Struthio camelus: one gene and its partners. The protein of the gene in region 1 purifies or fractionates together with the protein of each later gene. This does not show direct contact. Links are inferred from orthologs where the notes say so. Each region holds a gene or a part of one and is shown in the gene's direction. Other genes may lie near its edges.

Region 1 (8,215 bases):
ATATGTACAAGTGTATATCCTGCTTATCTGCCAAGACCTATAAAAATGAGACTGAAATGGAACAAAAGTAGAGGAAAAACTCCTTAGACAAAAGCAAGAGGATTACTTTGCATCTGTCTAATGTCATTACTCTTCTTCCTGGTTACTTCAGCCTTACTGCAATTAAGAAAGCAGGTCTTGGAACTTTGCCTTTAAGCAGAACGCTCTATTTTTTGGCATCTTCCAAAGTTCAAACTGCGTAAAACGTATGGGGAAAAGCTTACGCTAGAAATAAATAAAATCTGTGCTATTTCTCCTAAATATTCTTATGTTTACATTTTTGAGTCATTCAGTAAATAGGGCTTAATCACCAAGTATATAAACTGAAAACAAGACTGAAACAGGAATGTTGCGATCCAAGCCATAACTTCAGCGCAGGGACATGGCTACGTACAAATGTCATAACAATGAGTTCATCCGATATCAGGACTCCTGAATGGCCTCAAACTAACCTCTGTATGAGTTTCCCATTCAAACTGTACAAAATGTAGTGCATTAAATTATCAGAACATCCAATTTAATACTATATGTTAAGGAAGTTTACCCTTCCCCATTTAAGAAATTATCAGAACATCCAATTTAATACTATATGTTAAGGAAGTTTACCCTTCCCCATTTAAGAACTGCAAACATGACCGCTGCAAACACGACATCACTTAAACTATGAGTCATAGAAGCATAAACTATTCGGTCAGCATCCAAATTAGACTCTGAGACTTATGAAGAGCTCTAAGTTGGACACCTTTTGTAGCTGTGGGTATTCTAAGATACATCAACTGATCTCAGTGAGAGGAAAAAAAAACTGTTAGTGATTTTTATTCCTGTTAACACTACAGAGTCAAAAGTTAAGGAAGTGTGCGCTGCTGTTGATTTTTTACCAGAGAGCAACAAGAGAATCACTTACTAATCTATAATTAGTTACACTTTGATAAATCAGCTCAAGGCAATGGAACAGTATCATTAGGTCACAATTTAGTCTCCAGGACCATTATAAATGGTGACTAGAGGAAGAGATGGGAACAGATGCAGCTTGGTTGCCTGAATAATTTCTGGAGTTCACAGCTCAAAAAAAATACAGTTTCTCACAAATCAAGCATACTACATTATCTGCAGAATGACAGAACCCCAAAATCTGTTTTACAGACTTTTTCAAGCAGAACTATACTTTTAAATACAGAGACTCACTCTTGTGTCATTTGCACTAAAATTACAGAGACATAACTACTACAGTCAATGGAATTATTCTTAATTTTCACCTATATGAAACTGAAATCAGTTCATCATATCTTTTTAATAAACCTTAAACTACAAATAACTCATTTTAACACAAATTTATAAAAAAAAATTAATGCACGCTTAATTCACTCTAGCTATATTGTTTACTTTTCCTTTTTCCTAGTCCTAAGATCAGCTTAGTATCCTTTCCGTTTCTAGCTAGTATTTAACCACTTTTGTTTCTTATACACTGTGTAACACTTCTCATGCATCATAATAGTGGTTGGTGATATGTGAAGAATTACTTAGAGCAACTTGCCAGATTTTTTTTTAACAAAATAGCAACATTCCTACATTTCTGAAAAGGCTGATTTCTTCAGCAAATCTAATTTGAGCTTAGATTTTACTTGCGTGGCTCCATCATTGTGTTACACCCTACTATGAGATAGAGTCAAAGTGAACTTCACTTTAGATTTTAAGTTGAGGCTGGTAAGGTTTGGAAAATAAAGGATTTTCATTATATGAAGTAGTGCAGAGCATACTTGTTGTTCATGCAGTTCTTTGCCAAGCAGAATTACTGTGCTTAATATCCAATAATTTCATTGCCTAAAACTGAAAAAGTACAAACATGCAACTTGGTAGACCATCTACTTTACCGGAGAATCTGATAAAAAAACCACACTGAAGGCAATCCAGGAAAAGCCAGGTACAGTAAGAAACACGTCTTAAGATCTGACTCATTCTTTGGCGCTAGCGTCTAGCTGCTGAATTCCCAAGAATTCCTCCACATTTCAGAACTGACAAAAGGAAACCGTCATCTAAGGGCATTCCCAAGAACACGCGGGATCAATTTCTTACTCAGGACTTACGCAGCTCAAATTTCCCTTAAGTCAGTGGTATTTTCCTTGGGCAAGTGCTTGCTTATCCAAAGCACTATTAATGTCAAGTTTTCAGTAATTAGATGCAATGTTTGATTTTAATAATTACAAACACACTGTATTATAAATTATTCTGTTTGATAGCTAACTAAATGCTCTGATATCTGGTCAAAGAATAGTAAGCAGGATACGGCCATCCCATCTGTAGATCCTTGGAATCTCTGAGCTTCCCAGCCATTGCTATTTGAAGCCAGATAAACTTCTCCCCAGCCAGTGCTTTATCATATATTTCTAAAAAAATTTGTTGACAGTCAGCAAAAGTGACTTTGCTGTACATTTTTCACCAAGCTCTAACTGTAGCATAACAGTACTGAAAATACTGAAAATATAAAATGAAGCCTATTTATTTTTTCACTTTTCCCACTAATGTATATGAAAACTATAAAATGCTAGTATTTTAAAGTAGGAATTATCCTTTCTTTTTTTCCTAGTAAAAATGATGCCTCAAGGTTGTAGGAACTAACTTTGTTCTACATGTAGACAGTCAAAAATTGTAATTTCCTCAACTTTTGATCATATGATTTTCCCGTGTCCTTAGTCACGGTGTATTTAGATTATTTACGAGATGAAGTAACAAACACACTGTAAACCATTATCTTGGGCAACTGTTTTATCCTTTCCTGTCACACAAGCTCTTCTACCCATAAAATTCAGCTTTGTTTTTATGAATATTTACACTAATGGAGCATTTTGAATGTATGATCTTTTGGGGAACGCCAAGACCTTTTCCAGCAGTACCGCGGTAGCAAAATGATGACTTTCTACCTTTCTGCTACTGCTGAATTCAATCACAGGACCACAGGATAATTCAAGTTGGAAGGGAATTCAGCAGGTCTCTGGTCCAAACTCATCCTCAAAGCAAGGTCAGCTATCAGATCAGGTTGCTCAGGGCTTTACACAGTTAGGACTTGAAAATCTCCAAGCATGGAGATGGCACAACCTCTGTGGGCAAGCAGTTCCAATGCTTGACTGTCCTTAATGGGGAAAGGTTTCCTTATATGCAACTGGAACCTCTTTTGTTTCACTTTGCACCTGTTATCCTTTCATGAAAGGCCAACATGTCACACCTTGCACTTTCATCTCACAATTATCACCAGGATTCTGACCCATCACTAGCAGGATTGAGCCAGTGTCATGTCTTTGCCATACAGACTCTTCTACAGTCATAACTTTTTGATTAATTTATGTTCTCAAACATTCCTCATTGTTGTGGCTTTTATTATGACAGCTGTAAGTCGTTAAGATGCTAGCACAGGGAGGCCGCTCTCTGTCATACTGATCAGAGTCTACCCTTTTTATCTCCTCTACCACTGGTAACCAACCATTTTCACTTGCTCTATAATTAGACAGGTATGCTTTTTGGTCCAGGACCTTCTTCCATGATTGTACAGAAGTCAGTACAACAAGACTGTGTTCACATGTAGAGCTCTGTGTGACTACGTCATTATAAATATTATTACAAACAATAATCAGAGCTTTATTTTCTTACCCTTTTAACCAGGGTTTTATGACTTTTTTCCTCCCTTGGTGTTCTACCAGTACATGATAATAACATGGGTACAATTAAACCAATCCAAACTACTTCATATTAGTTCAGCTTATCCCCCTGCTTGAATGAGAACTACCGTACCAAATAAGCTGAGTAACTGTATCTTTGGTTCTACTGCTATACAGCTAATAGAAAAGATATCCACCACAGGGGTGGCTAATAGGTGCTGGCTCAGTGTGAGGCAGCTAGTTTCACTTACATCAACAGCGCTCTATCTTCTTCTCATGAACACATACAACGTGTGATGAACAGGTATAGACACAAGCTGACCAAACGAATTTGTGATGACTGGAAGATGATCCACTCTCTCCAGAGTCTTTCCTCACTGGAGTGAGCTTCTCCTCAAAGGCTGCAGCACTATTTTAACACATTTTCCTCTAGATGCCTGGGTCCAAAGCTTTCCTACTGTTATTGATGCTGACCCACCAGACTTTTATCAAAGATTTCCAGACATTTCTTCACTGCTTGCACTGGCCTCAAAGCATCCTTTTGCCCCTGCCAGGCCATAGGGGAGACCCTGCTCCCATGCCTGGCTCAAGACAGACAAGCCTCGGCCACGGTTTCAACACCGAGATGCCTACACTGAAAAGCGAGTGCGCCCACATGTCCCCCCTCGCTGAGTCTCCGAGGTGGCCACTGCTCCCGAAGCCGGTTTCCAGAACTGTTAAGGGGGTAGGACCCCAAGCCCACCGCCCCCAGCTGCCGTGGCGGCCCCGCACATGGCTGCGGCTACCGGGCCGGCGGCTCCCGCCTTCCCTGCGGCCCGTACGGCAGCGGCGTCACGGCCAAGTAACGAGGAGCCCTACCGGCCGGGCGGCCCGCCGCCTCCACAGCGGGGAGGCGGGGGAGACCGTTAAACGGCCGGGAGCGGGGTGGGGTGGGGGAGGGAAGCTAACCCCCCCTTCCCACGGCGCATGCGCCTCCCTGGCCCGCCTCCGGGGCGGCTCCGCCGGGCGGAGCGGCGCCAGCCGGTGGGGGCAAGGGGTCGCGGCGGGAAGTCCCCTCCCGGCGCCAGGAAATTCCCGGAGCGGCTCCCGTTGGGACACCGCGCCGCGGGGCTTTCGCAAGGCTGGGCGAGCCCCGGCTTGGAGCCCCCTCAAAGGAGCCTCGATCGCCCCGCATCTCCTTCCGCCCCCCCCCACTCACCTCCTAACGGTCCCTCGTTCACCTCGCGCCTCCCCCCCCCCCCCCGCCCAACGGTCCCTTGTTCACTTCAGCCTTCCCTCCCCCCCCACACCCCCCGCCCAACGGCCTCCCTCGTCCACCTCCTCCCTCCGCCGTCAGCCCCCTCAGCGGTCCCCGACGGTCGCTCTCCCCCAACGGCCCCTCACTGGAGCCGGGCTCCCCGCCGCTGGCCGCCAGGTTTTAGCTGGCCGCCGCCGCGCTGCCCCTGCCCGGGGATCCCCGGCCAGCCCGCTGTCCGCGCTGGCTCCTCGCCCCGGGAAAGCTCTGCGCTGCGCTGCGGCGGGGTTCCCCCCCGTCGGCGGAGGCGGGGCTCCGCTCGGCCTGCGCGGTAGAAAAAGCGGCGGTGCTAGGGGAGCGCAGCAGGCGGGTCCTGCGAGGCCTTAAAGGAGAGCGGCCATCAGCGGCCCGGCAGGCGGAAGAGCGAAGGAACAGCGGCAGTAGCCGCGGCCCTGCCTGGCTCGTCTTTGGCTTTATATGCACCTGGCTGGATTATTGTTCGCCCCGGAGAAGAGAGAGAAGGGGCAGCAGAGTGATCGAGGCTCGCCGTCCTCGGCCATGTGCTCGGTAAGCGAGGGTAGCAGTACAGACCCCTTGGTGGCCCGGTTCAAACAGGTGGAGGAAACGCTGGAAAAGCTGCACCGGGAAAACAAGAGCCTGAAGAGTAAAGTGCCTCGGTACAACGCTCTCTGCACCCTGTACCACGAGTCGGCTCAGCAACTGAAGCACCTTCAGCTGCAGCTCGCCGTCAAGGAGGCGACGATCCGGGAGCTGAGGAGCAGCCTGGCCCGGCAGCCGCCCGCCGCGGGCGAGCCGGCCGGGGCCGGGGCCGGGGCCGGGGCCGAGCCCGCCCGCTCCCTGGTGGAAAGTCTCCTGGAGCAGCTCGGCCAGGTCAGGCAGCAGCTCAGGGACAGCGAGCAAACCTCGGCACAGAAAGTGGAGACTCTGAGCCAGGTAAACCCCACCTGCCCCCCGGAATAGCACTTGTACTTTGAGCGTCGCCTGCCTTTTCCAAAAGGTTGTGTGTACTTGCAGCAGATTGTACCTCGGGAGCTTTATTTCTGTACTTCTTCCTACAAAAATGACGAGTTTTAAGTTTAGTGTTTCCAGCACTTGTTGTCTTGAATGGAGCATCTGACTTGAAATATACTTGGTGATGACCGTGGTTATAGACATACTACATTTGAGTTTATAGAAGCACGTTTAGGTGCACAGGCACCGACACTGAAAACTTGGTTTTAAGTGACTTGCCCAAGGTGGCATAGCAAGCTGGGGGCAGAGCCTGGACAAGAAATCAAATGCTTTGAATGATCTGATGCTCCTTGATATGTTGGTGCATTTGACAGGACTTGCATTAACACTTTGTGTGCAGAGGTGGACTGTTTGCAAATCAACTCAACCCTATGTATCAAAGATTAGTTTCTACTGCATTAAGTTCAATAACATAAAAGAGCTTTTTTTTTTTTTTAAAGCAACTGTAAAATCAAAACTTAGTGTGGCATTGTAAATCATAACATAACTATTTTCCACAAGCAGAAGGAGAAAATATTCAGTAACAGCTAAATTCAGGAGTTCCATATTACCTATTTAAAAACAAAAACAAAAACCTTCCTCTTTATCAGATGTAACAGTGCTGTTCCATAAGATAAACAATTGATGCCAACACTTTTTCTATTACAGTATTTTTTTTAAAAGTTCACTTTAAAAAAAAAATGGCTTCCTTGTTTTGTCATTAAAATAGCACTGTAATGCTTGGAGAGGTAACTAGCAACTCTAGATTGTGAGGCAATAGATTGAGGGAATAGGCTATCTCTTTATGACAGAAAATAGTCTTAAAAACTGTCTCATCCCCCACAAGTACTATTTTTGGTACTATCATTAAGACTTTCCTGTGTTCAATCAGAAAGAAATGCTTTAAAATTCTTTTAAGTATTTCAATATGAAGCTGCGTAAAGGAATTTCCAAACCAAAAAGTAGTGCTTAAAATTGAAACAAGTATTTTTGTCATAAGTAAATTCTTGACCTAATGCTTATACAAAACACTTTCCACATATGACACTCACTTAAAATACATTTAAATAAGTTCAAGTTTGGAAATTTGTAATAAGTGATAATCTTACGGACACTTTGCAGACAGATAACAAACCTGTGCTAGCTAAAGACATTCTGAAAATTGACGCTGGAACTTATGTCTCTAATCTGCCCAGGAACTGTAAGCATAGCAAGGGGGAAATTTTATCATTTAGCAAGAAGTTAAAGAATTTTAACATTAGTAACAAGAGCAAGTGCTATTCCTGTAAGTTAGACTAATCATTTTATTACTTCTAGAAATGAATGTTTCATGCCAAATCAAAAAAATGAAATAACTGTCACTAAAAATAAATAAAAAAACAGTGCCAGATAATGTTCTGAAGTCAAAGGTCTGTGTGCTGGAAGAAGATTGCTTACTGTGATTTCCAGCTCCATGATCAAGGATTATGATTGCAACCCTTGAAGAACTGGAAGGGTAGGGTCAAGCTTGTATCTTGTTGTCTAGCCTGGTATCCAGGGCAACACTAATTCTAGAGGAACAGTGCTGTTACCAACTGTTACCAACTTCCTTTCTTCTTTGAGATCATGAAGGACAAGCTATTTTTGACAGACTCGGGACTGGTATACTCTAGGTGTTGCTGTGTGGCATGGTACTACAGCATGATTGTATCCTGGTTCGTAAGCAAACTTCTTCATTCTCAAAACAGCTGCAGCGACTGCAGTAAGCTATATAACTCTTTCCTAAGAGTATGTTAGACCCTCTCTTGTGTTTCGGGGACATAGTTATGGCCAGAATAGAGTTATTGCTACCACGGAGATTTCATTTTCTATTTGCTTGTCATTACCATTCATCCTTTCCTAGGCGGAAAAGTTGTTGTGTGTGCTATCTTTGGTTTGTCCTTTGCCTGGTACCATGACATGAGGAACACTTCATTGGTTTTTGATCAAATTGGAACTGAAAAGTCTTCTTTTGAGGTCTGCTATGTGGTAATTTGGAATGCAGGATCAGAAAGCATTTCTCAGCCTCTAGTCGTTTCTTTCAAACTGCTTTGTTTGCCGTAAGTTTCATCTTTAGCTTGTAGCTGCTGAATATATTTTACATAAAGTCTTCCTAAATTTTTGCTTATTGTTTTTTGATTTTTTTGATTCTGCTGACTTGTAAGTACTCGTATGGCTGTTGGAGCACTTCTTGTTTTTTTTGTTTGTTTTTGTTGTTTTGTTTGTTTGACTGATCTGTCAGTACTAAAGTTCAGTGGTTATA
Region 2 (7,964 bases), on another chromosome or scaffold:
ACTGAATGGATGAATCATTCAAAAATATTTTTCACTGTTCAGAGCAACAGAACTATTTGTTTTCAAGTTCCACTATAACATACAATCAAATAATACAGAAAAAAAAGGGGTATCAACTCATTATGTCAAGGAGTCATAGATACATTCTCAGTTGCTTTATCATCTTGTAAAAATAATTTAAGTGGATTTGTGTTTTACTTAAAAAACAAAATAGAAGCAAAAGATTTTACTATAAATTTCACTTTCAGTGGAAACCTGGAAATTTTATTGCATTATACGGTTTTTATATATACTAGATTTCATTGTTAACTGAAAAAAACTTGGACATTAACCAGTGTATTTGGAGACCCAGTTCAAAGCTCCTGCACTAAATAAACTGCAGTTAAACTATTATATACTGTCACACTGTCACCAGCTAAAGAATCGAAAAAATCTCCATCCACCAGTCTTTGTAAGGCCTTTTTCTCAAGGCATGTCTACAGCCCACCAAACAGCAAGGTTGCCATGCTATGCATTTACATAGACATACCCTCTTTTAAGCTTTGTGTATACTATGGGTTAAAATGGCTACTGACAATGAAAGCCACGAAATTATGCAGCTGCTCCATTGGTCATCAAAGTTTAACTGCAAAAATAGACAAACATAAACTGTACACTGCATCTTTTCCAACCCAGTTACAATTCACTGATCCTCTTTTATAAACCTGCCAAAAGGTTTTATCTTCTAAATGGATATTCTAAAATAATAAAAAAATAATTCTAAATTAATGGTGTAAGAGCTTTTGGAGCTTCTCCATTAGTAATGTTCCCTACCCTTCTAGGTATCCTGTCTTTCACAGGAGATTGTTTAATGTAGACAAATTCCTACACGTTTGTATCAGCATGTAGTCATTAACGTAAGAACATATGCCACATTGGTTCAGACCCATCTTCTCTTCGGCAGCGGCTAGAAATCAATGCCCTGGGAAGAGTAAGAACAGGGCAAGCATATGTGATACTTCCTCAGAGTTTTCTCCCAGCTGCCAGCTATTTTCAGGTCAGGGAATTTCCTGAGATTGATGCTGCCTGTCTCTTTAGTTTCCCTCAGTGAATCTTTCTTCCAAATACTTGTCCCAGTCTCCCCTTGAATCCAGAATCAGTGCATTAGGTTTGTGCTATTCTTCTCTAAGAAGTATTTCAACCTCCATCTTGTTTCACTCTCTCTATGTAACACAGGCAATATTCTATATAGATGAATAGCACTGGTTTTACCAAGTTGTTGCTACTTTCTATTGGTTTCACTAGCATCACTGGCTTTTTCTTCTCCATGTGTTTAAAAAAAAAAGATTACAAAAAAGATTACATTGGGTGCAGCAGTTACTATGTACTGCTCACTGTTTTCAGGCATGCCTGTTCATGCACTGCTCCCTTTTCAGGCAGGGTAGCATTTTCTCATGACAGTGAGCCTCCAGAAATCACTGGAATTATTCATGAAAATAAAGAATGCTGCACTGGGTCCAAAGCCAGTTTTACAGACTGTTTCTGCTAGCCTCTGTTACAGAGAATATCTGGTTGTTTGCAGTTGCATATAAGGAAGTTCTGCAGTTGGGTATTTCTCAGTGGAAGTTCCCAGCTAGTATTAGTCATAACCCGTACTGAAGTACAGAACTGCATTTCATAATCTTGTTGGCACTGCTCTCAGATAACGTAGGCATTGACCGTACTGTCACTGAAGAGCTGACAGAAGAAAAATATTCTTAAGGAAGTTACTTACAAGGTAATCAAAACCTTTGGTTTCCATTGCATGTAAAGAAAATGAATAAATCATTCCTACCAACTTCAGTGTGCTGATATGCAGAAAAAGTATAAAATGAGCTACAAACATTGTAATTGTACTAACACTGCTTTTACACTGCTTAGACTGCACCAAGTCTGTATGTCTGCACTTTGATTAAACGTTGCTGAGCTAGTTTCTGGAACCCAGGATTTACCTGTTACAATCTATAGGCAAAATGCAAACCTTATTTGCATTGCATGGACTTAAGTTTCCACAGGCTCATCAACTAACTACTCTTTCTTTTGGGGGAAAAAAAAGATTCAGCCTCCTGTTCCTTATTGCTAGGGAACTATAACTTTCACTCTAAATTAATCCACAGTTCTCCTTTTATGACCCAGGAAAGGCATTTCAAGGCATTTTTTGTGGTAGGGGGAAATAAACTATCGAAAAAATCCTGTAACAACACGCAACAGTACAGATTTTGTCCGCACCTAGAATTGTGCCATACATTCCTTTGGAAAAGCCGACTAGTTCTGGAAAAGGTTTAAACATCTGACGTGAGCCACCTAGTGTCTGAACGCATGGCTACAGCAGGAAGTTTCAAGAAACATTTTAACCTGTTTCTGACAGTCTGTAGAAGCCAACTGGTACTTATAAACTTAAACCGTAAAAATGAATTGATTTAAACCGTTACTGAAATACAGTCTTTCTGCAACTGCTGCACTGCAAGCATATCTTAAAAACAGTCAGACTGGTAGATTCCTAAAACCTCAGATGAGAGTTAAATACACTGAAACACGCTTGTTCTTCCCAGTTATCTTGTGAAGGCTGCAGGTAGGAACGCAATTCTGCCTTAACAATGACATAAAAACGTCAAATATTGATGTGAGACTGAAATGCAGAAAGTGTTTGTTGGAATAGTTGTAGGGATGGAGATACAGAGACTAAAGAGGGGGAAGCAGAAAAACAGAAAGAGAAAAAGAAAGCAAGATGAGGAAGAAAAGGACAAAAATAACGAACCAGCGGGGCAGAACCCACTCTTCCTTTAAAAGATCACAGTTAAAGATCAAGTTAGCTACCGAATATAGAGCTTATACTCTGACTTTCACAGGTGTTTTTCTATTTAACAAGAATTTATTCAAAGCTTTGGAAGTTTCTAAGAATGTTAAGATATGTCACTGCTTGCAATGTACATTCTACCATACTTGGGGAGGAAATGCAGAAAAGAAAAAAAAATTCCTGAATAACAAAGATAGAAAAAAGATCAGCTTCTCTTGTGCTTTATTGTGAAAGAATATTACTTATAAAGCACTAAGAGAATAATGCATGTGACTTGAAAACCAGTCATGTTGCTATATGGCTGTCAACTTTGCTCTGTCAGGTCTAAGACCTTCACAGCAAACTTACATTAAGTACACTGCTAAAATTTAATAAACAAACATTTATTTCCTACAAAAGCACTAACATGTAATTATACCATTTCACAGATGGTATATATGTTAAGTATGTCTCTATTCAAGTCCAGGTATCCATACTCTTAGTTGGTTCATGCTTATTGTCATTTGTTTGCCACACCTACTTGTATTTTTCCTGCACATTACCTGTTTTTAAATATAGTTTCAGTTAAATCATACTTATGTACATTGATCTGAATTCAAAAATTGCAGAGCTTTTTTATTTCAATTACTAATTGGGATAAATTTCATTATCATTTGAAGTACAGAGTTTCTTGGTAAGACTAGATAAAGATTAAAAAAGTAGAAACTAAAAAAGGAACAAGTGGGGGGTGTGTGTGTGTGTGTGTGTGCGCGTTTTTTCAACAAAGATCTAGTTAAATGAAACCTGAACTTAGGTATCTCAAACAGCCTGTTAAATTAAGATAAAGGTCTCTGAAAGAGGAGATTTCTCCCTTTCTTGGGAACATGCTAAAGGAGAAAACCCTCTCTGAACCTTAATAGGTTCATTAGAACCTCACCCAAAATTCTTAAATTGCAGCTAACTAGGAAACGTGTTTACTGGCTCATTAAACTATCCACCTACAAGTCTCCTTAGTCTTAGAAACAGACCAGAACAGACCAAAAGTGTTGTTAAAGACTTATCAGGAATGGTAAGTCATAATGCAAAGAACTGTCAACAAAGTACAGCGAACAACGCCTGGCTCCCTTCGCCGTACTCTTCCTACGCCTGGCCTCCGCTGCAAGCTCCCGCTCGCACACCTGACAGCGAGGCTGCCAGAGCCGAGACGCAGACGCGGCCATCCAGGTTCTGCTCTGCGAGCGCGCACGCGGAACCACTGTTTTAGCAGAAGAAACCCCGCAGCCTGCCTGTGCGCAGACAGCTGCTGGGGAGGGGAGACAGGTGAGGCTAATGCAAGTCTGTAAGGCCTCTCTTCCGCTGTCTTCACGACGATAACCTGTGCAAGCACATTGCTCCCATCAACTCTCCTCCTCGTACACCCCTTCGGGAAGAGTTCTGTTCCTACATGCGACCAAGAGAAAGAAGGGCTTGTGGCAGTAGCAAAATTGAAATTGTTAACTGCATTTCCATTACAAGCTTATCTATAAAAATCTATTGCCTGCAATAACTAAATGCAGAAAAAATGTCACCTTAATAACTTACAAGATGCTTTAGAAAGTACACTGGGTACAATAAGTATAATCGTGTCACAGATATGAGCATTTTTATTCACAAAGACCACACACAGAATCATGAAAAGACTTAAACAGGAAGGGAGCTCTGGAATTGACGTAGGGCTCCTTCTCACCAGCACTGCACCGCAGACCCTGCTTGAGGGGGGAGGGCGGCAGCCAGGCAGAAAAATGACCCGTGATGAAGCCATCGCAGGCACAGACGGAGGAGAGCTGGGGGAAGCGAAGCGAAGCGAAGGCTCGGGCGAGGGCAGACGGGGCAGCTTCGCCTTGCGCCCACGGCGGGCGGGCGGGCGGGCGGCGCGCCCGGCGCTCCCCGCGGCGCCCGGCGGCCGCTGCCCCGCGGTGCAAGGGCAGCGCGGCGGGCGGGGAGAGCGCGACAGGAAGTCGGTTCTGGTTCCTGGGTTAAGGCGCTCGGGCAGGAGCGGGCGCTCCGTGCCGGGGCGGCCGTGGGCTCCGCCAGGTGCTCGTAAGTCTAAGTCGTTCCTGAAGCCGCTCTGCTGCCTTCCGCGGGGAGCGGCGGGCGCTCGGCCCGGCGGCGGGAGCGCGGGCCGCAGCATCCGGCGACGGGCTTCCCCGGCCGGCCGGCCCTGCCCTCGGCGCTTCCGCCGTCGACTCCTAGGGGTGCCGTTTCCCGTCTAGTTCCGCTTTGCCCGGCTTAGGGAGCGCAGCGGGGCGGGGGCGCGTAGCCTGCGCGCGGAGGCGTGCTGCGCCCCCGCGGAGGGGGCCGGGGCGGGCGGCGCGGCGCGGGGCAGCGGGCTCGCTCGTTGGTGGCGATCGCCTGCCGCTCCGGCGAGCGAGGTACAGAGAGAACTGTCATTTCTTTCCTGGCAGTAACAGCTTGGGGGTGGGGGGTGCTAAACCCCAGCTCTCCAATAATCCTCATCTCTTTCCCTGAGCTCGGAGGGTCTGTCTGCTCTCTGAATTGTAACGCTGTTGTGACATGAGTGGTTTTTATGGGATTGCTGACTCTTCTCGCAGTAGTGCAAAGCAGGAGTTATTTTGCCCATTAGGAAAAAAAAAAAAAAGCCCATCGAAAGTGCAGTGAGCTCTCTCAGTCTCTCACAAATGATTACTTCAACAGGTTTCCAGTTCCCAAGATGATGGCAGTATAACTTACAAAATATTTCCACCGAAGAAACTGTTTTGAAGGCAGAAACATGTAGAGAAGTACTTGCTTCTGGATGGCATCTGTATTTTCATGTGAACCTACAAGAGGTAGGCATGTTGTGTTATGAATGAACTTGTATACACACTGGATTAGCTAAAACCTTTTCTTGCAGAATTTAGGGTGTTTCCTGAGGCACTGTGAAAACGCACAGTGTGTCTTTTTAGTGATCTCTGGTGCTGGGATTCCAGGACGTACGTGGCAGAATGTTGCTCGTCTTTGTGTTGGGGCTTTGTTGGCGTTTAATACAAACTTCCTGGGAAATTTTCGCTGCTGCTGTATTTTTTCCCTTCTATATCAGTGAAATGCTTTTCACTTGAAACAAGCTTTAAGGGTATCTGCAGGTTTCATTTGGTTTGTTTACTGAAAAGTTTATCTTAAAACATGTGCTATAAACTGGTGTTTTCCAGTGTTCAAGTCTTCACTCAAAGATGAAATTCTGGTACTCATTCCCATAGTTCCAGCACCACAACCCTCAAAGCTATTTGCATTTACAGGACTCTCTCATCAGACACACTCTGGAGCTAATCTCTCTAATTCTGCACTTGTTAGAATGAATACAGCATTTTGTATTGCTGAATCTGTACTGACTCTATATTGCTGCTAGTAATTGGTAAAGAGTTTTGAGGATCTACCGAACGTCTAGAGCGTCAGTTGCTAAAGATTAGGATTGTGAACTTTGGGCTGAAGATGTTCCAGTTGCTATATCATTGCAGCATAACCCAGATTAGATTAGTGGGAATACTTGTTTTTTGGCGGTTTGGGGTTTTGGTTTTTTTCCCCCCTCCTAACTGGATGCAGGGAGCAGAGTTAATGGCAAGGAACGGTTGGCGATTTCCCTGAATAAAGCTGATGCCTGTGGAGGAGAAGCAGGAAAAGGAGCCCTTTTTTTAATCCCAAGGAGTTCTGGACATGAGATTCCTGCTTCTTATGTTATTTATTTATTCCAGCAGTAGGCAACTCGGGGTGTGACTACAGAGTAGTTTAATCCAATCTAAATCTAGGCTGCTGCAGTCCTGCCCACAGCTAGTCTCACGTTCCCACTGCCTCCTTGTGTTGGTAGTAGCGCTCCAGCAGCCTTGCAGTGAGCTAGCACCAGCTTAACTTTTTGCTTGTTTGTTTTGAGGGGGTAGGGGGCTAGTTCTCTGACGCAACTCACAGGTGTAGCATATAAATGCTAACATTGGTACACGTAGATGGCAAAAATACGTGGCACAGGATGGAGGAAGGCAGGAAGTATCGATTTCTGTGGCAGTGCAGACCTAAATCACGTTACGTAACCATGGCTTCATGCGATAATTTCAAAGCTAACACTACCAGTGAAAACAGGAGTTCTGTGTGCCTTTTGCTCACGTCTTCTGTGTCAGTGTTGATGAGCTGTAGTTTCAGGAGTTGATACTGAAATTGTTTACAAAGTGTAAAAAGATGACAGTATTGTGTGAAAAAAATCCATTTAAAAAGTCTCCATAATTTTTACTGGTTAGTACAAGTCCCTTGTAGTGACACAGGCACTGGTGTGATTGTGCAGTGTGAATTAGTCCATTGAACTGATCTGCACTATAATTAACACAGCAAAAATACCTCTAGCATTTACTTTTAAGCTGTGTTGATTCACTGATATGGTTTACAGTGGAGTTGCTTGTGCTGGCAGAAGTGGAAGGGTGAGGTGGAAGCAGAATCATGAGTATCTAGGAGTATAAGTGAACGCAGGACTAATTCTTCTAGTAACAGTTCCACCTTGAAGTGTCCAGCTGCACTAATTTTGACTTTCATTGCCCCTTTCTTACTACATGAAATCTGGATTTTTGGGAGCTACCAGTAAATTAACATTTTCTAGGGGGAGGGGGAGTGGTCCTCAAACTTGGACTATAATCAAACATTCTCCTTATTCTTACTTCCTAAGCAGAAAGGCAGGTGTAGGGTTATAGCTCTTTATGGTGTAGCAAAAATAACTGATCCCACCTGCGGTCCAGACAAGCCAAAATCTGCTGATACTCCCAGCCTCAATGAGTAAAGAAGAGGCTGGAAGTTGGGGATAACTTTTAAGTACTAATTTTTACATTGAGATTTTAATTTAGAATAGCTTCATTTTCTATGGAGTATGAACCATCTGTAGCTGAACTCCATTCCCTCCATTAGAAGCTGAACATAGTCCTTTAACTCAATTTTTGAAGTTACTTTATGTACAGGATATTACAGTTTATTACGTAAACTGTTACAAATTAAGTGTCTTCTGGAGAATTTTGAAGAAGTACAAAATCAAGTTTGGTACTCTGCAAGTTTTTAAGGAGTGTGAGAGCATGCTTTTAAGTCATTTTCAGCAATAACAATAATCTTCCTCACTTTAGTAGCCCCCTATGCAGTCAGCGGTAGTATCTTCCCTTATTCCTTG
Region 3 (7,571 bases), on another chromosome or scaffold:
AAAGGAGAATGGTTTCATTAAAATTAATTGTGGGTTTAGGAAAACTAACGACCTAGGCAGGTTCCTGAAAGAGGATGCCTAAGTTACCTAGCGTGAGAGCTGCTGTAATGTGTTAAAGGAGCGTTACTCAGCCTTAACCTGCCACCTCCGGGCTGCTGCCAATTCTGCCCTCCCCTACGCCGCACTGCTCTCCTCATTCCTCCTCCTACAGCCTACCTTCTTCCCAAATTCCCTTTATTTCCTTCTTCCATTTTTTTCTCCCTAGTCATCTTCACCATTCTTGAATTTATCCCATGTACATTTCTTAGTGAGTGTCCTGAACAGCACAATTGAGCAAGAACAAACTCGACAAGATCCGTATCTCCTGCGTGGAGATTTGCCAATGTATCACCTATACGTTGTGGAGAAGAAGCTCTGTGTGAACAGAGGTCAGCGCTGCTAGCAGCGTTCCTCATGCTAAACTGTGAAGCTAAAACACAACTAGATCGGGCTGCAAGGAGTTACACGTACTGAAAATAAACACTGAGGCCTAAGGTGAATTCTTTGTCCTGAAATTTTATAATGACAGTTTTGCCATTGACTTCAGTAGGCACAGATTTCACATAAGTCTATTATAACGCAGAAAAAAAAACAGAACATACAGCCCTTGTCTCCTAAGATCTCAAAACAGCTTCAACTCATCAGCTCCTAGTGTTGTGGGAAGTGGTTTTGGTGATCAAGAGATGCCGCTTCTCTCTCTCTCTAAGCAAGAACTAATGCACTAGAAGAGCAACTACCGGGGAGCACAGCCCTGCAAGAGTTACTGCCTGTTCAATGAGGAACAAAACGTAGTCCAGCCCATTTTTAGCAATTATCAAACTCATGATACAATCCCCCCAAGGATTTTAATCCTAAAGCCACTGGCAAATCCTACACGTTGTTGTCCTAAATTCCAGCGGAGTTTCAGCTGAAGTTTTACTTAGATACCGCTGAAGCTAAGTGTGCGTGGCGAGCGCATCGCCTCCCTTCTAGGTTCCAGGTGCCACACGTGGGAACGTCGGGGACTTTGGGAAAGGGCTTCCCCGAAGCCATGGACCAGAGACCCTGAACTTGCCAGCTGAAAATGCCGCAGGCAGGGACGCGGTTGGGCATTACGAGAGCACTCTGCGGGATTATTGTTAGACCACTGGCTGCTGAGGTGAGCAACCTACTTCAAATCCCCGTTCTGCCGGTTTTCTAGCAAAGCCTTGAATGCAGCTTTCCTCCATTCCAGGATGACCTAAGAACTCACTGGGTTACACAGTCATGTTTCTGCCCCCCCTTCCCCCCCCCCCCCTTTCTGGTTCAGAGCGTTCCCCCCCAGACGGCCGGGGCCGGAGACCGGACCCGCTTCGCCCCCGTCCCCGCCCCGGCCGCGGGCGGCACCTTTACGCCCAGGGCGGGGAGGTGCCTTCCAGTAAAGCGAAATAGAAACCGGGGCCGGCGTTGCCCGCCCGTCCGCCCGCCCCCGGGAGTTTCCAGCGGGGCCGCCGCGTCGGGCGGAGCGGCCGCGGCGCCGGCTGCGTGCGGGAAAAGGGCAGCGCGGCCTCACGCGGAGCGCGCCCGGACGGCAGGTGAGGGGCGGCGGGCGCGCAGCGCAGCGCAGCGCAGCGCAGCGAGGGGGCGGCCGGCCGGCCGGCGCGTCTCCCTCCTTCCCTCCCTCGGGGAGGGGGGGGCTCCCGGGGTCCCCCCTCCCACTTTCCCGGCCCGGCGGGGCCCCTCTCACCGCGGCAGCCCTCCGCTGCGTGCTTAGGGGTTGGATGGGGATTTGAGGAAGAAAATACTCTTTTTTGGGCGGGAGGGGGGTGTCTTTAGGAAATATCACTTTTCAATATTGGTTAGTGACGAGCCTGCAGTTTGCGTGGAGCGAGTTAAGGCGCTGTTCGCGCTGAGCCCCGGCCCCTTTTCAGCTCGCGGCCGAGCTCAGCTCTGAGCCTGCCCTGTGAACTGCAGAGTGCTTCCCTCTAAAATGCAGCTTAACCCGATTCTAGTGCTTTAATACTTGTTCTCCTGAAAGGGACCACAGTGCTACTGCTGTATATATAGCTCAGTGACCCTGTATCAAGGAGGCAGAGAACTGGGGCTGTAGTTGGTGTAGGAAATCGGGCTCGCGTGGGAGCGCGTTCCCCCGTGTGCGGTATGGGATAAAGACGCGTCGGACGGGTCGGGGCCCCATCGCTGTGAGTTCAGCGGTGGCAGCTGGCGTGTGGCCTGGGCATTGGGAAATAGCCTGCCCTGCTGCTAGGAGCAGCTCTAGGAGCTGGGAAAGGTGCTGGCACTGCCAGCTGCCTGCAGTGATGCAAGGGAGATGCGGCTGGGAGGGTGCTGGGGTTGCCCGGCCGGCTGCTGCTTCGGGACGGCGCGCTCTTCCTCCTCTCTTCTCCTCTGCCGCTTGTCTTCCAGCTTGCTGTTTGTCAGACGGTAGATCAAGATTCACAAGGTTTTAGGTGGGCAGTTTCCCGGTTGCTGACAGCCTCCTGAACAGCATGGTATTTGCTGCTAAAATCATACAATCTCTAGCACCTGTTCTCCTCCCTAGTTTAACTGGTTCTGTATCTGCAGACCGAAAAGGAGATCAGTGTATTGGTTTGTATTGGAGATAAACTTTTAGCCGCTGTAAGCATGAGAAGGCCACTCCCCACCCCCAGTGAAAGTGTGAAATTATGTAGAAATGGAAATTGTTGAATTTTTTTGTAACTTAAAGCAGTTTTTTTGAATGGAATAATGTTTTTCAAGGTCTATCAATAGGTTTTCTTAAAAACAAGTATAGATTTTTGTCCACCACTGATGGTTAACTGCATGCAATCAGACCAGAAAATTATTAAAGACAATACAAGAAATCTTTGTATAGGTGTGTGATTGTATTGAGCCAGTCTGTGCAGATTTACTTATTTAGTTTTTTTACTCTTGACACAGAAAAAAATGCTGCAGGAGCTCAGAGGAATGGACTGTCCGGTCAACCTTATGCCCTTTAGTATGACACATAAAGACATTTTCAAGCAATGCTCTCCTCAGGAAAAGGCTTTTCAGGGAAAAGCTAGCTACTCATGACAAATAGAGAAATAAACTCCTCGCATGCTGATTGCTCATGTGATGATGTTGAAATGATGACAGCAGTGGAGAAGAAGTCTTGTGCTTTATCAAGTTTTTAAGTGCTTACATTTAGTTTTCTTTTTCCACTGTAGGTAAAAAGAAATTTTTCATTGAGGACTTAGTCACTTAAAGTCTTCAGTCACTTGGATTGTATAGAATGATTTGGAGCGTTATGTGAGTGCCCGGTACAGGTCCTAGGACAGAATTCTAGGGAGGAAAGGGAGAACGAATTCACTGCTAGCAAATGGACAACCTTTGCCAGTGGTGGAAATGTAACCTATAAGTTGCTGCATAATTTAAAAAAGATCAGATTTACAGAGTCTAGAAACTGGTCTCATTATGTAAGCATTTGGTATCTGGAATTTACTAGATGCGGGAAAATGAACAGTTTGCAGCTGTTCTCGAGCACTAAAGGCATAAAACTGAGAATAAGCTGGTTGTAATAACTTTCTTCTAGTTGTTCAGACCTTTGTGGGTAGTAGTGCACCTGTTGAGAATAATATTAGGAACACGGTGCAGTTCGGGAACATTTCGAGGAACAAAGCAGAATTGGCACTGGTGGAAAGCTGTGTTTGGTCGAAACCATACAATTTTTTAATGCATGAAGATGCTATTAAAAAGTGAGTTATTTAAGCATGTTGTTGACCTGACTATATCCAAGAAGGACCAGAACTTCTGCAGGCTCGTATTCTTTCTCAGAAAGTCCCTTAGGACTTGTTTCTAACTTACCTTACTTTTCTCATGTAGTCTCTCAGTTCCTCTTATGGCTGGATTGAGTGTTTCTTTTCCCTCCACCCCCGTGAATGCAGCATCAAAAAGCAACCAATAAAAGCCCTGCTATGGAGAAAGATATAAATCTCCTTTATAAAGAGTAAACACTTTCTAACAGCCTCTAATTTGGGGATAGAGCAGGAAGGTGGGATGCTGGGGATTAGAAAACAGCCTTTGCTTCTGTTATTTCTTGTTGTGCAGCTTGAAAAGACCTGACCCCTCTCACTACCCCAAATACAAATTCCGCTAAATTAGTGCTAATGACCACAAATTTTTGTACTCCCACTTCCCTAAAGCTATGGGTATTGTTGCATTCACTTGATGATGGGTGAACTGGTATGGGTGAGTGCTGGTGAAACTCATTAACCACGTCCGTCCGGAGGGACGGTGGGGGCATGGTGCTACCCCGATGCTGTTGCCGCAGGGCTTGGAAGGGGCACCAGGTACTTGACATGCCTGGTCGTGGGCTGTGTCTGCAGTTTTCCTGCCCTGCCTTTCGAACTTGCCGCGCACGATCTGAATTTCTTTGCCAGGTCAGCCACGTCATTTTACTCGCTTTTCTTCAACGTTAGAGCTGACGTAAATACTCTAACCCATGAGAAATATGTACCGCAAAGGTTCCACGTCCTTGTGGGGAGGGTAAGGAAGATAGTAATCAAAACCAGGGACTGCACCTAAGTAAACGGCACTGCTTTGTGGCCCCAGCGGACTGAGTCTGCTATTTGTCCTTGAGATAGCTAGACTGTGCTTCTTTCTCTCTTTCTTTCTTTCTTTCCTTTTCTTAAAGTATCTTTTTTTTCTGGCTGTTATCTTTTGCACAAAATAGGTGTTCACAGTGGATTATGAAAATAGGAAGTGAGAGCTCTGTAAATAGGATGTGTTCTACTCGGTTCTGCCAGAGGAAAAGGAGATTCTTCTTTGTTACTTGCAAGCATTAGGCAGAGAGAATAAAACTCAGAAGCTTACCATGGAAAACTTATTTTTCCCCACTACTTGGAAATCTGGATGTTCATACAATTGCTTGATTCTTGTTTGAGCTGTCTTTTTTTTTTTTCTTTCTGCAAAAAAAAATCCCCTATTTTCTCAGCGCTGTGACTATTAATTTTTCTTTCCATGAAGCCTGTGAAGCAAATGTCATATGAGTAGAGGCCGGTCCTTCTGCTTGAGCAGGTCTGCCATTACTTTACTTTATTTTACTTTTTTAATAGACTGCTACAGAACGCTGTGAAATTGTCATCAGTGATAAACACAGGTTCAAGATACATGGCAGCTTGAGGCATTACATTGAGACGTTTTTGATGGTTTTGTGTGATGTAACCAGGATAAATATAAGGTAAGCATTCACTGAAATTTGCATGTTGAAAACTATTTGTATAAGTATTTTAATGATTGACTATGCATATATGTTTTTAACTTGAATACAAAAACTCTGTCTGGCTCACGTTAGGAACCTGGTATGGGAGGGGACTTCTTGGGACACTGAATCCAGCGTCCTGTCATTAAAGTCCTCTTTAAGAAAATGGTCAAGATCTATCTTAAAAGTTATTGTTAGAAATAGTGAGGACAGAACAAACTTCTGGAAACTGCTTCAAAAGCTCATTGCTCTTACGATCAGTCCATTTCTGATTTTCTTCTTAAATGAGTGAAAATTTCAGTCGAAGTCTAGTTCTGGTCAGTAATGTCATCTCAAAACGGGTGGAGTATTTCAGCTGTATTTCAGTATCTCATTTGTGCATTGCACAATGATACTAACAGATGCTTTTTGCTGCTGTAATGGTCTTGCTCCATGACTTTCTCCTCTTTGGGGGCACATCACATAAGTTGCTCAAGAACATTTGGGGATGAATTTGTATGGTACACTTACATCTCTGTCATCCATTTCAAAATGATGAATGCACTCTTAGAGCAAAAGTTATTAGTTTGTGAGGACATAAAACCTTGTTTTTTCTCCTGTTTCATTGCTTTCTATATAAGCTCATCTATATTAAGGATACCTCTTCATTTTTGCATAGTGCAGCAAAATATAACTAGTTCACGCTTCCGTGTTGTGCCAGCACCCGTAACAAAAATCTTTGATGAAGAGAATTCCAAGAGTGAGTGATTTGGAGTGTTCACTAACAACTTTCAAACAAAATTCCACTAATAAAGACTTTGTTTTCTCTGTCTCCTCTTCACCCAGTCTACTAATCATGACTTTTTGCATAATACAACGTACTAATTTTAAATCTAACCATATAATAATGAGCTTTTATTCTTACTCTGTTGAAACAACTTTAGATGAAGTGATTTCAGGTTTGTTTGTTTCTTTTTTTTTCAGGAGTGGTTTTGCAAAGCAGACAGTAATGGAGTATATGAGCACTGGTAGTGATAGCAAAGAGGAAATTGAATTGTTGCTGACTGATTTAAATATGTCTGAGGTGATAGACATCATGGAAAACCTTTATCCAGATGGGGACCTTGCAGTTTATGAAGACAGCATAATTACAATGTGTGAAGAGGCAAATCAAAATGAAGAGCGTGCAGAATCTTTACTGTTTTGTGAAAGGGAAGTTTCTTTGATGTCATGTGTCAAATATGGGACTGTGGAAGACTTGCTTGCTTTTGCAAATCAAGTGTCTAACACTACCAAACAACGTAAAGGATGCCGGCAGCAAGAATCTGGAATCCTTTTGAATATGGTATGTCTTTTTTTTTTTTTTTAACTCAAAAAATAAGGTTAGTTACTATTAGTTGATAGAAGTGATTCATGAATCTAAACAAAGATCACCTCCAATCTTAGAAGTCACAGTCAGAACATCGTTTCCTACGGGAACATGGGGCTGGTGGGCATCTCTGAGGCCATCAAGCCTAGCCCCTGCAGTCTCAGGTACCCATGGAAAAGGGTCTTTTGTTCAGAAAGGTCTGCTGTATGTTTACCTCTTGGTATCCCTGAAGATTAGAAAACACTTCCCAACAGTAAAGACAAACATGAGACATGCAGTAAAAGAGAAAAGCTGCAGGTGCAGTGGCATGCAGGAAGGACCTGGGAGATGATAAGGGTTTTCCAGTGCCTTGTGTCCATATGGTAACAGAGTCTGTTACACAAAACTCCCAGGTAAAGGTTTAGGATCTGTTTTAGTACAGTTGCTGAATTCACTCACTCTCTCTGGACAAAATATTGTAGAAAGCAGTAATACAAAGAGAAATGGCATATAGTATCAACTCTGACTTTCAAATCACTATATTATATAATATCATATACTGCTACATACTAGCACAGATATGTTGTTTTGAGATATGTTCTTTTTTTCCCTAAAATATTTTGTGTTGCACAAGCATCATTAGAAATTAGTGTTATTGTACTTCTGTTAAAAATCAGTTGCTTTGGAAACAAAACATCATGAAATGGAAGTTTATGCAAACATCTTTGCCTTCTGCTTTAGTTTCTTAATATATTCTAAATCAATTATCTTGGATATCTTCTATGCAATATGTTTTTTATGTGAGCATTGGTTGCTTGTGTCAAATAGCAAAGTCTTGTTTTACTCTTACTTGCAGGGGATATTGCAGTGTTGGAAAACAGTCGCTTTTTAAACTCTGTAATACTGAAGTGACACTTACTAGCATTAAATGTTTCCCATACTTAGGACACTGTTCTACATACTCCTGGTTGTTTGGTTTGCCTATTACTTCTGTAGATGCATACAACT

What was found.
Region 2: the proteins of TNIP2 (region 1) and TANK purify together in Homo sapiens (affinity purification with mass spectrometry; 3 studies listed by BioGRID and IntAct, with this or other methods). This does not show direct contact. The link is inferred for Struthio camelus from reciprocal best matches to the Homo sapiens genes TNIP2 and TANK.
Region 3: the proteins of TNIP2 (region 1) and MAP3K8 purify together in Homo sapiens (affinity purification with mass spectrometry; 3 studies listed by BioGRID and IntAct, with this or other methods). This does not show direct contact. The link is inferred for Struthio camelus from reciprocal best matches to the Homo sapiens genes TNIP2 and MAP3K8.

Annotation. Positions count from the first base shown.
Region 1 is NC_090945.1:77,064,288-77,072,502, forward strand, and holds the start of TNIP2 (TNFAIP3-interacting protein 2), read left to right. Parts: upstream 1-5,047; 5' UTR 5,048-5,400; coding exon 5,401-5,877; intron 5,878-8,215. UniProt on the Homo sapiens protein: Inhibits NF-kappa-B activation by blocking the interaction of RIPK1 with its downstream effector NEMO/IKBKG.
Region 2 is NC_090947.1:27,036,639-27,044,602, reverse strand, and holds the start of TANK (TRAF family member-associated NF-kappa-B activator), read left to right. Parts: upstream 1-4,734; 5' UTR 4,735-4,873; intron 4,874-5,078; exon of another isoform or gene 5,079-5,205; intron 5,206-5,488; 5' UTR 5,489-5,622; intron 5,623-7,964.
Region 3 is NC_090943.1:18,073,169-18,080,739, forward strand, and holds the start of MAP3K8 (mitogen-activated protein kinase kinase kinase 8), read left to right. Parts: upstream 1-4,159; 5' UTR 4,160-4,277; coding exon 4,278-4,415; intron 4,416-5,090; coding exon 5,091-5,215; intron 5,216-6,199; coding exon 6,200-6,560; intron 6,561-7,571.